Neodiprion lecontei: one gene and its partner. The protein of the gene in region 2 interacts with the protein of the main gene of each other region in a pairwise test. Links are inferred from orthologs where the notes say so. Each region holds a gene or a part of one and is shown on either strand. Other genes may lie near its edges. The genes, in order: ras suppressor protein 1 and LIM and senescent cell antigen-like-containing domain protein 1.

Region 1 (5,413 bases), on a different chromosome or scaffold from region 2:
ATAGATTGGCAATATGTAACATTTTACAATTTCAAATTACCTTCTTTAGACTGATTTTTCAAATATTCCTCTCTCGCAAGTTTCAGGGTTTTCTGTTTTAATCGTGCCATTCTACGTACACGTAAGGATTGAGCATATACAAAAATTACATTGCAGCACCTATGGCTCAACTAAAGAACTGGTAAGTATTGTACGTACTTGTTTTCTATACCGACAAATGATTTCGTTGCAGTTTTCTGCATCTTGATTGAAGCCAAACTGCTAACATAGTTGTTAACACAAGCTTCATAAATATTACAATTCTCGACTGTAACATGTCAACGGTACGAACTGAAAACACGGTTTTGCATTTCTACTGAAGCTATTGACGCAAAATAGTTGAACGTGTACGTTTTATGATGTGAAATTGTTTATTGAAACCCCGTCATTAAATCATAAATAATAAAAATTTTCCAAGTCATTTTTTCTTAATAGGTAGTTTAATACATAAAGTACAATTTAGAATGACATACACTTATAGATGAGTGAATTGTTGTGCGTGCCAATTAGAGGCTCAACAAGTGTAATGTGAAAGATATCCACTATAGATCAATAAATTATTTGCACCATCATATTTATTCATTTCATATTAATAGTAGGTAATTAAAATGCACGAAGTGTTACAACTTGGCGGAGATTCATTTTGCGCATCAATTTAAGATTCTCATCAAAGCTGGATAAAATTTTTATCGTAAACGCAGTCAGAGTTCGATTTCTTAGCATTATTACATTACAGAAATAAATTACGACTGTAACCTGTATGAGCAAGAATAACTTAACGGAAAAAATTAATACCCGTGGCTATGGTGAATTTCATTTGTTAATGTATTAAAACATTATAGACTCACCGAAATATTCTACATATTTAATTTAGTTTTAAATTTGTTATAAAAAATATAAGCATAACATTAATAAAAAAATATTAATACAAGTAACGATTCAGAATTTTAAGGCAGTTGACTTGGCATAAGGCACCACGTGATCTGATATATCTGATGATCAATTTGTGGTAATGTACAAATTAATAAATTTAGATATATTAACGATTAGTCATTGGCATTAAAACTGTAATTATATAAGTTGATTTTGTCACATTAATCTCATTTAGCGAGCACGAGAGATTTTCTTGCTTTTATCATTCTCAATTGGTGGCGGAGGTCCTTTTGCACTGAGGTGACGATTATAGAGGCTGTAAAAATAAAATAATAATTACCATCTATTGTTTAGCTGGATATTTTACTTGAAAAATTTAACGTATTTCCCTATTATTACAGGAACTTGTAGGTCTGAAAATGGGCCTAGAACCATCACACATTCGATAATGGATGGGTATACTGATTAATTGTTATTCATTTTCCAATTACACTTACTATCTGTAGGTCTCCGAACGAATATAATCAATCACGTGAGAAATTCCCACTTGCAATTGATCTCCAATAGGGGTAACCCAAGGATTGAATTCCATTCTGAACACTGCTTTGTTACTCACCAAATCTAAATTACCTGTGAAGTAAGTTTAAAACTATTAAAGTTACCATACAGCTTATCACAGGGCTAGTCACCTACATTCTGCTAGGAAAAATGAATAAAGAGAAAGCATTCACGAGCTCAGCAATACAAGTTATACAGCAATAGGATACATTTGGGACGACCCGCGTATGTAAGGCAATTCAAATTTATAGGTAGTTAAGAATTTCACCGATACAAGTATACTGATATGGTACGCAATTAGCTACAGAGTATCAATTTACCTATCTCTGGTGGTAAAACTGTTAGTCGGTTGCCTTGAATGTGAAGTTCTCGAAGTCGGGTAAGTTCGCCAATTTCCTTAGGTAGCTCAATCAGATCATTTTCCCTGAGCACAAGCTGTAAAATAAATTATTATTCAGTATATTTCGTAGTTTATCAGTGTTGCTTATGAGTATTCTCATTTCATACAGTATGATGGAATTATTACAATTTGCAGATTTTTCAACTGGCCAATCTCAGGGGGCAGGTATTCAAAATCGTTATCGGCAAGATACAATGCTCTCAAGGTCTCTGGAGGAAACAAAGTAGAATTAGGGTATGCATTGTGCATATAATCAATAATGAATTAATTATTGTAATGTATGAAATTAATTGATTACCCATCATAAAAAAGTTTCCAGGTAAATTTTCTTCACTCAAATTATTATATGTGAGATCCAAGACCTCGAGCACTGGGAAGGCACCAAACCCTCGTGGAAGGGAATCTAATCTATTCATTCTGAAAAATAGGATAACATACTATTTAGAATTAGAAGCCTATTACCTGTTTGTGTTTTTTTCTTAGAATATAAAGGTTTTTATCAAGTAACAGATACAAGTTGGTGTTGATTCAGCGATACAAAATGAAATTGATTCAACATAAGTAGCTAGGCTATAAGTTCAAAAAATGTTGCATTGAAGTTATCGTCCTTATCATCATAGACAATCATTGCAGATTTTATTTTCAATAACATACAGACTAGAATTCATGTACAATATAAACAAAAAATATAAACAGAAGTGGATATACCGAGATCAAAATAGCGTTAGTTAAAATTATCAATGTAACTATGTACATTTTGAAATATCGTCTTTATCGCCGCGCAGTTACGTACCCAACGTTGAGGATTCTTAACTTAGGCATTTGTGATAAGGAAATTGGAAGTTCAGTGATGTGATTATTGAACAGGTTCAAAATTTCCAAATTGATTAAATTTGCCAAACCAGGTGGAACAACTGAAAAATTATCATTCCATTACTTGCTGTGACATGCATAATACGGTAGGATCGAACAGGTTGGCAATACATGAATTTTCTCTACATATGTACCTTGAAGTTTATTGTGACTGAGCGTCAGCCTGGTTATCTGCAGCATATTCACTGAAAAAATACAATTCAAAATACATGCAAAATTATGAAGAATGACACGATAAGATTAATGATAATTCGGTTTCGATGTTGTAATATATAGTAGTCATTGTATGAAGAGTTCAAACAAGAAATAGTTTGAACAAGTACAAAGATGATCTGAAAATTATGATCAGCTGTATTTGAAAGGACTATTTTTACGCAATAAACATAGGTTGTTGAATGATATGCGATATATGGTTAATGAGTTTTTAAGTTTACATTTTTTCCCTAAATGAGCATCCAGAACTTAATTGGGAAATAAATATAAGGAAATCTGATCAACAGTAACAGCACGTATTTGTATAAATAGTACAGGGCTGTCCACGCCCATGAGTAGCCCTAATGGCAGTGTGTAGTTTTGTTGGTGCAAAAAACCAGTCTTGACAAGTTGCCTAATTTGGCAATGATCAAGTGAAGGGTGCAAGCGTATTTTACTCACGCAGTCCGGGCATTTCCTCGAATGTGGAAATGCCCTTATCAGCCAAATCCAGCTCAGGATTTTGGTTTTCTCGGGCCTCATCGATTACTTTCTTTGCCTTTGACATCCTCGAATTCGGAATACACGATACTGGAGTCTGATTCATTGCGCGCGCACACACGGTCATACGTATTTTCAGATCAGAGAAACTTACTTACACATGCCTAATACACATGCCTCATGTGCATGAGCTACTGCAGTCGATAAAACAGAATTTACCGCGGTGACGACGTGAAACAAATTAAGAGACGAGTACGATTTATGTTACCATCAGAAACAACGTTTGTAATTACCCGTCGAATTTGGATCAGAATAACTAAATTATTGCTGACTTATGTTCTTTCCGTCTGACGAATGAATATTAGTTTCATTGATGCGTGGGGCTTATCTTTGTAAATTGCACCTGTTTGTCCGTCAACCTCTTGGATATTCTTCCTTACCCACCAAATTTCAGTACAAGCTCTCGTTAAAACCCTTTCTAACTGTTTACAGTTTTATTGCACATTTTAGATCACGATATTTCAGACTACGCGTAGTTATAATTTAAGTGTCTCTGTGAAATTGTTTCAGCTAATTGATTGCTGTTGTAAAATTTGCGGTTAGCTTTTTCCCTCATTTTGCAGTGAATTTGTATAAGAATATATTTCATACCTCGACGATTGTAATACGATAACATTATGAAAAATGGGGGCAATTTTTTTTGTGTTCCTGCAAGTATAGTATCGTACTTTACCGTAGCGTATTACTCGGTAACCATAAGAGAGTAATAAAGTCATTCAAATTTTTTAATTAAATCGGATTTCTGGTTTTCAGCATGTTATCTTATTATCAGCACATGGAAGTTCTTCTCCTTCCGCATAATTAGATACATGAAGTGTCAACAACAGTAAATTATAGAAATTAATCTAAAAATTAATAAACAAACATTTGTTGAAAAATTTTTGGGCCAGAGTTAACTCATATTACAGTACAATAACAACACCGTAATATTAATTATTACAATCATGTAAAATATCACAACGCTTAACATTGGTTTCACAAGTCAAACGTAACTTCTTGTAAAAAAAGAAAAAAAAAAAACTTATCAATTCTTCTGCGTGACGTTCTTAAAGTAACCCAAACCATTAAAATAGTTATAGTTGCTACAGTAACGCCTGCATTTCTTTTATACAACTCTGGAGATGTTTGAAACCAAGGGTTGCTTAAGTTGTGTTACAATTATTGGAGTTGTCGGAAAAACTGGATAATTTCTTCGAGTCCACGCCAGAAATAAATATATTGGTGCGACGAATTTAGGAAAGGTAAATAACAGGTAAAAAAAAATACAGGGTTTACTGTGCTTGATGCATTTATGTTACGAATATTTCACATAGTGTGACTCCGACCTTGGCATTAAGTGACGAGAAAAAATTGAAGTAATATACACATGAGAAAAATCATTTCAAACATTCGATATTAACTATGATTATTTATTACCTACAATTTAATAAATTATTATTTTCTAGCAGTAACACTGGTATCGATATTTCAAAATTGTCACATTAATACCTAATTTAAGTTTATCATTATTAGCAAAAATAATGAGCTGCATGAATCACCAGACTAATTATCGTTTTTGAAATATGTGTATGTCGATACAGTAAATGCGTGAAACTCAAGAAATATACAGAACTCAATTTATGCGATGGAATCTATAAGCTCCTATTCAGTATCTAGATTTCATAATAACTAGCATTTATATAGCTGATACACTTTTTTAGTTCGTTGCCAGTAGTTATTATTACCAAACGACGTGTTACATTGCCAATCGTGACCGTTCACAATGTCAATACAATTTTATGAATTTCTATAACATGATAATATATCGTATCTAACTTGCAAATTTTTACTTAAGACTGAAGAACGGAAACTGATACTATCACACACGTTCGAAGTTAAAACATACATACATTATTTTACACACGCACTGACACACGT
Region 2 (6,590 bases):
CAATAGTTTCGTATAATCCATGCTCTTTCTTCATTTACGCATTAAATGAAAATGTATTGGGGTGTTCTTATTCAGAATAGTGTATAGAATGGGGTGGTTAATCCCTTTCTTGTGTTTGAGATACGTGGACTTCGATATTTGGAGATCAACGTCGAAATCGACCAGGATACCCTGTTTCTCATTTTCTCGTTAAATGACTCGTAGATCACAGCATTGAAGTTTACTAAAAACAGCCAGTCAGCTACGAATAGTCTTCTAAAGCAACTAAAAGGGCACAACTAGTGCGAGGGTAATGGCAGTGCCCTACACTTACCAATTCGCTTATGGGACTTACCCGAGCTCATGAACGTCCGTTAAACCGGACGTTCTTGAATTCGAGGATTACAATGTTATTTGGGTCGGTAACTGTAAGAACTTTCTGTACTTAAGTATTCCCTTAGCATCCCTCGCCTAGTTGCTTCGAGCTATGCTCCAGTTCAAAATACTCCATTCAGCTGACTGTCCTTAGCAGTCTTCAGCAACAATCTTCAGTCAACGATTACGGTGAAACAAATTGAAACATGTGACTACGTATATATTTAAAATGATTAACTATATTTCTCACCCCGTGGTGACATATATGTTATAGTTGCGGCAGCAAATTTTTACTTATTAATTTATTTGAATTTCAGGTTACAAATTAACGATATGATACAAAAATAATAATATCATTATAGTAAATAACAATATAATTTGAGAAATATTTAGAAATCACTTTGCCGAGGTTCATCGTGCTATAATTTGAATCAGAAATTATACGACAAACGGCAAAAGTCTTCGTAATCCGGATCTTTTTCCACTTAATCGTAACCTTTTCCATTTTGAGCAGCTATTACTTTGTTCAGCAGATTTGTACAGTTCATATTACTTGGTCAGATGGCGAGCGCGGGCATGTGTCGAATTTCAAAAATAGTTAAACTGCTTCCATGTGTATGTGCCGCGTGATTACATACACCTTTAAAACCAGCACTAAGCGCTAGGGGGTAAGGTTAGCTGTTCTTCGATTCGTTTCAGCATACACCGCTGCTGTACATACCTATACTATAACTGCATTATACGAAGAAAATCGGTGTCGTAAGTTGTTGGGAGTCGTGAAGTAAAGTACGAAATCACGAAATCTCGCCACCACATCCGCCCACAGATTATCCATACATACATATACATCTTTAAAAGGATAGAGTTAATTCGCCGTCGTCTCATTGGCTGAATGGGTAGAACGGAAAATAATTATTTTTACTGAATTGGGCGTGTAAGCTTCTCCAGTCTTCGCTAATGACAACGAATTAATCGTTACTATAAGTTGTCTGTTTGTATACTATCTACTAGGTAAGTAACCCAATATCTATATACCGCTTATAGGTATAACCTGTAGTGTACAAACATATTTGTAAGCCAGATATTTTTCGTGGATTACGTAGTTTCACAAATATTTCTTTGAATACGCAAATCGCGATTGTTGCTAGATGATAAGAATGGCAGTGTACGTTTATGTAAAACGACTGGGTGGGACGCGTACCGCAGTGTATAATACGTATAATGTGAGATCATGTGCGAGAAGTAAAAATCGTCTGAGCAGTTTTGTGTATCCGTGAATCCCGTTCTAATTGCAGAAACAACGAAGAGGCGAATATAACGAGTGTCAGGGTGCTGGAGCCAAATTCTCCAGTCCCACCTCAGTTTCTAATCCATATATTATCTTCTTCTTTCAAGTATCACACCAAACAAATTATGCCAGGGTAAGCAATGCTGTGTTGCCTATTTTTAGCATTGACTTCATCCAATTTCATAGACTTAACATACACTAAACCTTATCACATCCAGTTTAATTACATATATATCGCTTAAATCAATTTAAAAAATGAATTACACATCAAGTGAACACGCCTTATTCACATTTTGTAGTAACTTTTCATAAATCCCTAATAAAATTGCTTCATGACATGTTGAATCCACCCAAATGTTTCGTAACATTTTTTACTCCGATATCTCGGCATGGAATTTATGTATTATTCTGTACACTCCCATTCATTGTTGTATTAATAAAATTGTATGAACTTATTAATCTGTGCTACTTGAACATTTCAGTACACGATAGCTCCAGATATTAATTGATATATTTACATTTGCCGCGTCAGATGCAGTTCTGATTCATGTTACCAAAGTACCGATCCATTGATCCAGCTTGATCATGAATCCAAGTGGTCGTTAAAATCCGAAGTTCTCATAACAAATGAATATATGTCAATGGAATATTTAACCGTTTGTTAATCATTTCGTAACCTTGGATAGCTTACAAAGTCTCATTTACTCCAGAGAAACTTATTTCATCGAAGGTTAATGGTATTTTATATTCAGAAGTATTATTTGACATTGTTCATGTGTTTTAAACTATGCGCATTTCATCACGATTGGGTATTCATATTGTTTTTATAATAACATGTCAACTGTACAAACATATTTTAGAATTAAACAGAAACAACTTGATTTTTTAACCTTCGATACGCTTTACAATTTTACTGTTTGACGCCGAATATACTTTTCTGCTGTGTGATGTAACTCAATTCTATTGCATTACTCACATGATGATTATATTGAAGCCCGTTAGTCAGCTGTGCTTAATCAGCATTAATTATTACACCGAGTGGCAAGTAGGTGTATAACTAAAACAGATTCTATTTGAGGAATAATATTTGGCACCTGTATTAGAAAAGCTGACGATCCACTTCTTATCTACCCTGAAGTTTTATCTATTATATCAAACAGAGACGACTACGAGATAACATATCAATCCATACATACCCGAACAACTGAATCGTTCTTTGGTTAAGTAAAAAGAATGGTGTTTAATAAGGATGGAAAAGCTTGAATGCTAAATTGTGGTTTGATTAAAGTTTTTTTATTGTCAATTACGAAGTTTCGATGTGCTACATTGAATTTTTAAGACTTCAGAATGGCCCGAAACAGTGATACTCTTCCATTTCCTACGTCTATATCAATACAGTCATTAGATCACAGCAAATTATATAATAGGCGTGCACAATCCCGCGAAAATTTAGTTGAGAAAGAAATTACCAATGACTCGAACAGCAATCAATCTACTTTTGTATATGACTACGAAGAATTGGCTGAATGGAAGGGTTTTGATAAACCTCCTAAACTCCCGCCAAGGAATTTTAAAAATGCTTACTGTGACACTAATGACCTTAAAAAACAAACAACAAACAAGACAGGGTATATAGAAAAAGAATTATACTCATTAACTATTCTATTAACTGATTTTAATCGTCAACTTCATGCAATCACTGAATATTCTGTAACCAAATTCAGTGACATCATTGGTCCATTAAACTTTGATACAGAATGATGTTATATGTCCAAGACAGCAAATTTCTCTCCATCATTAATATCATTCATTTTATTACAGAGTCACAGGGATGTCTCTGGATGACATGTTCTGCTCCCGCTGTCGCGAGGGATTCGAGCCGCACGAGAAGATTGTCAATTCTCGCGGAGAATTGTGGCATCCGCAATGTTTTGTGTGAGTAACACTTTGGAATGGAATTGAAACTATAAAACCACCGGAATGTTTATCAATGGTTGAAGTTTTAGTCTCCAGCAAAGTTATGATAGAATTATTTAAATTGAGAATTTTTCCAAACGATCAATTCACATATAATGATCACAAACTATTTTGATTCTTGATATAATATATACAGATTTTCCTTTTCACAGTTGTGCACAGTGCTTTCGCCCTTTTCCCGAGGGTATTTTCTATGAGTTTGAAGGAAGAAAGTATTGCGAACATGATTTTCATGTTCTATTCGCCCCTTGCTGTGGCAAGTGTGGTAAGTTGTATACATAAGATTCATTATAAGGTTTTGTTATATGTCAGATATTTTCCGTTAGTTCGGCCACTTGTTCCTGGATCGTCAAGTCAAGAGTGATACGACTAACATTATTGAAAACAGTTCCTTGAGTTTCGTTCAGATAAACATTCAACTAGATCCATTCTAGAGGCAAATTCAATTTCAGGTGAATTTGTCATTGGAAGAGTAATCAAAGCCATGAATGCTAACTGGCATCCTGGCTGCTTCCGTTGTGAGGAGTGTAGCGGTGAACTAGCAGAGACTGGTTTCATGAAATGCCAAGGAAGAGCATTGTGTCATACCTGTAACGCTCGAATAAAAGCTGGGGCTCTTGGAAAGCATATCTGCCATCAATGCCAGTAAGTATTTATTTTTTAGAATTTTCTTGTTATTCAGATAGTTTAAAAATAACTAGAATATGTATATTGTAGTATAATTTTCTACTAATCATTGACTAAATAATATTTCTATCTATAGTGGAATAATCGACGACAAACCGCTGCGTTTCCGTGGTGAAGTATATCATCCCTACCATTTCAACTGCACGGCTTGCGGGATTGAGTTGAATGCTGATGCCAGAGAAGTTAGGTCCAGGCCTGGATTTGCGGCTAATGAGATGGTATTTTGGCATTGAATTTTTTTCTTTTCATACGTAAGCCACAGCTGAACAGCTGTGTTTCATATCGATACTCGTATGTTGTCACTACCCTATATTGACTGACAACAAAATAAAGCCCTTCAAAGTCGGCCTGGCGCATGTCTCATTTGTTTTCATATTTTTTACATCAATTATAACATTAGAGCTATCTGCTGAGATAAATGCCTACTTTTAATTTCCTGATTTAAAGATGCTACAACATTAACATACCTGCTTGATATAAATGCATACATCATGTATTTTACAGAATGAACTATATTGTCTGAGATGTCACGACAAAATGGGAATACCGATCTGCGGAGCTTGCCGGCGTCCGATAGAAGAAAGAGTTGTCACTGCCTTGGGAAAACATTGGCACGTGGAACACTTTGTTTGTGCAAAGTGCGAGAAGCCATTCTTAGGTCATCGTCACTACGAGAAAAAGGGCCTTGCTTACTGTGAGACTCATTATCACCAGCTCTTTGGAAACCTATGTTTTGTTTGCAACCAAGTAATTGCTGGAGATGGTAAGTTTTTATTGTTTTTTTACAACTTGGTAAAGATTTCGAATATCATACAGTGGTCACTTTGATTCTTTGATTACTCCTAAGTCGTTTCCTTATTTATTGACCCAATCTTTCTTTGATTGGATTACTTCAGCATGAGTGCCTATCGTTTATAACATTTAGTAGATAGCACCTTGTTCTAATTTCCAGTAAAATTTTCAACTAGTCTGCAGTGGATACTTTCCAATAATTACCAGCAATTAAATTTTTGCCAATCAAATACTAGAAAAGTATTAGACAATTGAATTTCACTTACAATTCGTTGCAAAATAGTAGAATAATTACTATCAAACTTTGTCTTCTTGCAAATTAGTGAAAGCACTTTTTCTTATTGCAAATTACGAGAGTCTAGTACTATATTATTATACCTAAATAACAAATTGAACCATAACTTTACGAGGAGTATTATTCGAATAAATGTCACAATAATTTATATTTATGTTAATCTTCTGATTAGTAAATTGCTGCAGTTTACTTTCATCATAGTTTAATAAAATTCGCAGCAACAGAATTACATTTATAATTCGACAAGCCTCATATGTTTATAATTAAAATTAAGTTGTAAGTTTTTTACAAATCATTCTTTATTCCATTTTATTTGCAGTTTTTACGGCATTAAACAAAGCATGGTGCGTACATCATTTTGCTTGCGCATTTTGTGACCAAAAGATGAACCAAAAGACAAAATTCTTCGAATTTGACTTAAAACCCGCTTGCAAGAAATGCTACGAGAAATTTCCCCAGGAATTGAAAAGGCGTATGCGTCGTATGTACGATTTAAATCCAAAAAAAATACCTGCCTAAACAAATAATAAAATACTTTTACCAGATGTGTTTAAAAAAAAGTACATGTATGTTTATATATTTATTGTGCTTAGCAATTGCCGTTTAAAATTACATTAGACAAAGATCATTCTTTGAAGAAGTAATCAAAGTAAAACGTAACATTGATTAAATTTGTCCCCAAGACTACAAAAATATTTTATATAACTGACTTTATTTTTAAGTAAATATTTATCACGTAATGGAAAAATATTACTTGGCCAACTAACGCGCATCTTCTAATTATTCGATATGTACTGTTCGCATTCTGATATTCGGATTTTTCCAAGTATACCTAGAGGATGAACAACCATTTCGATCTAATATTGAAGCATTCTCAAATGTTCGTGCCTTACACCTAGCTTAGGAATAGAAAAAGTATCGCTTATCATAATTCGCAGTAATTATCTTACATTTGACTGACGAGTTATTAATGCATCATAATATACTACACAAATAATTATACAAACAGAAATTTTACACGTATACAGTATCCACACAATATACATTATAATGCTGATCTGTGAATATTTTCATCACTTTATAGTGGGAGTCCTTAGTAAATTTTTAATGGTGCTTTTCTATAAATCAAATTGTTATGTTGCACGTTGTAACAACATATATATATGTATAAGAAAAATGAATATTACCTATTTTGTA

What was found.
Region 1: the proteins of LIM and senescent cell antigen-like-containing domain protein 1 (region 2) and ras suppressor protein 1 interact in a two-hybrid assay, tested with the Caenorhabditis elegans proteins (2 studies listed by BioGRID). The link is inferred for Neodiprion lecontei from reciprocal best matches to the Caenorhabditis elegans genes unc-97 and rsu-1.

What each region holds. Positions count from the first base shown.
Region 1 is NC_060262.1:32,279,143-32,284,555, reverse strand, and holds ras suppressor protein 1, read right to left. Parts: upstream 3,596-5,413; 5' UTR 3,564-3,595; coding exon 3,398-3,563; intron 2,929-3,397; coding exon 2,878-2,928; intron 2,785-2,877; coding exon 2,664-2,784; intron 2,288-2,663; coding exon 2,169-2,287; intron 2,080-2,168; coding exon 1,997-2,079; intron 1,906-1,996; coding exon 1,791-1,905; intron 1,543-1,790; coding exon 1,410-1,542; intron 1,229-1,409; coding exon 1,144-1,228; 3' UTR 597-1,143; downstream 1-596. Other genes in the region: uncharacterized protein LOC107224057, read right to left, coding at 41-110.
Region 2 is NC_060263.1:9,168,655-9,175,244, forward strand, and holds LIM and senescent cell antigen-like-containing domain protein 1, read left to right. Parts: upstream 1-1,860; 5' UTR 1,861-2,989; coding exon 2,990-3,270; intron 3,271-3,463; coding exon 3,464-3,577; intron 3,578-3,771; coding exon 3,772-3,884; intron 3,885-4,071; coding exon 4,072-4,264; intron 4,265-4,382; coding exon 4,383-4,524; intron 4,525-4,810; coding exon 4,811-5,069; intron 5,070-5,712; coding exon 5,713-5,912; 3' UTR 5,913-5,944; downstream 5,945-6,590. UniProt on the Caenorhabditis elegans protein: Component of an integrin containing attachment complex, which is required for muscle development and maintenance. Probably function in adherens junction.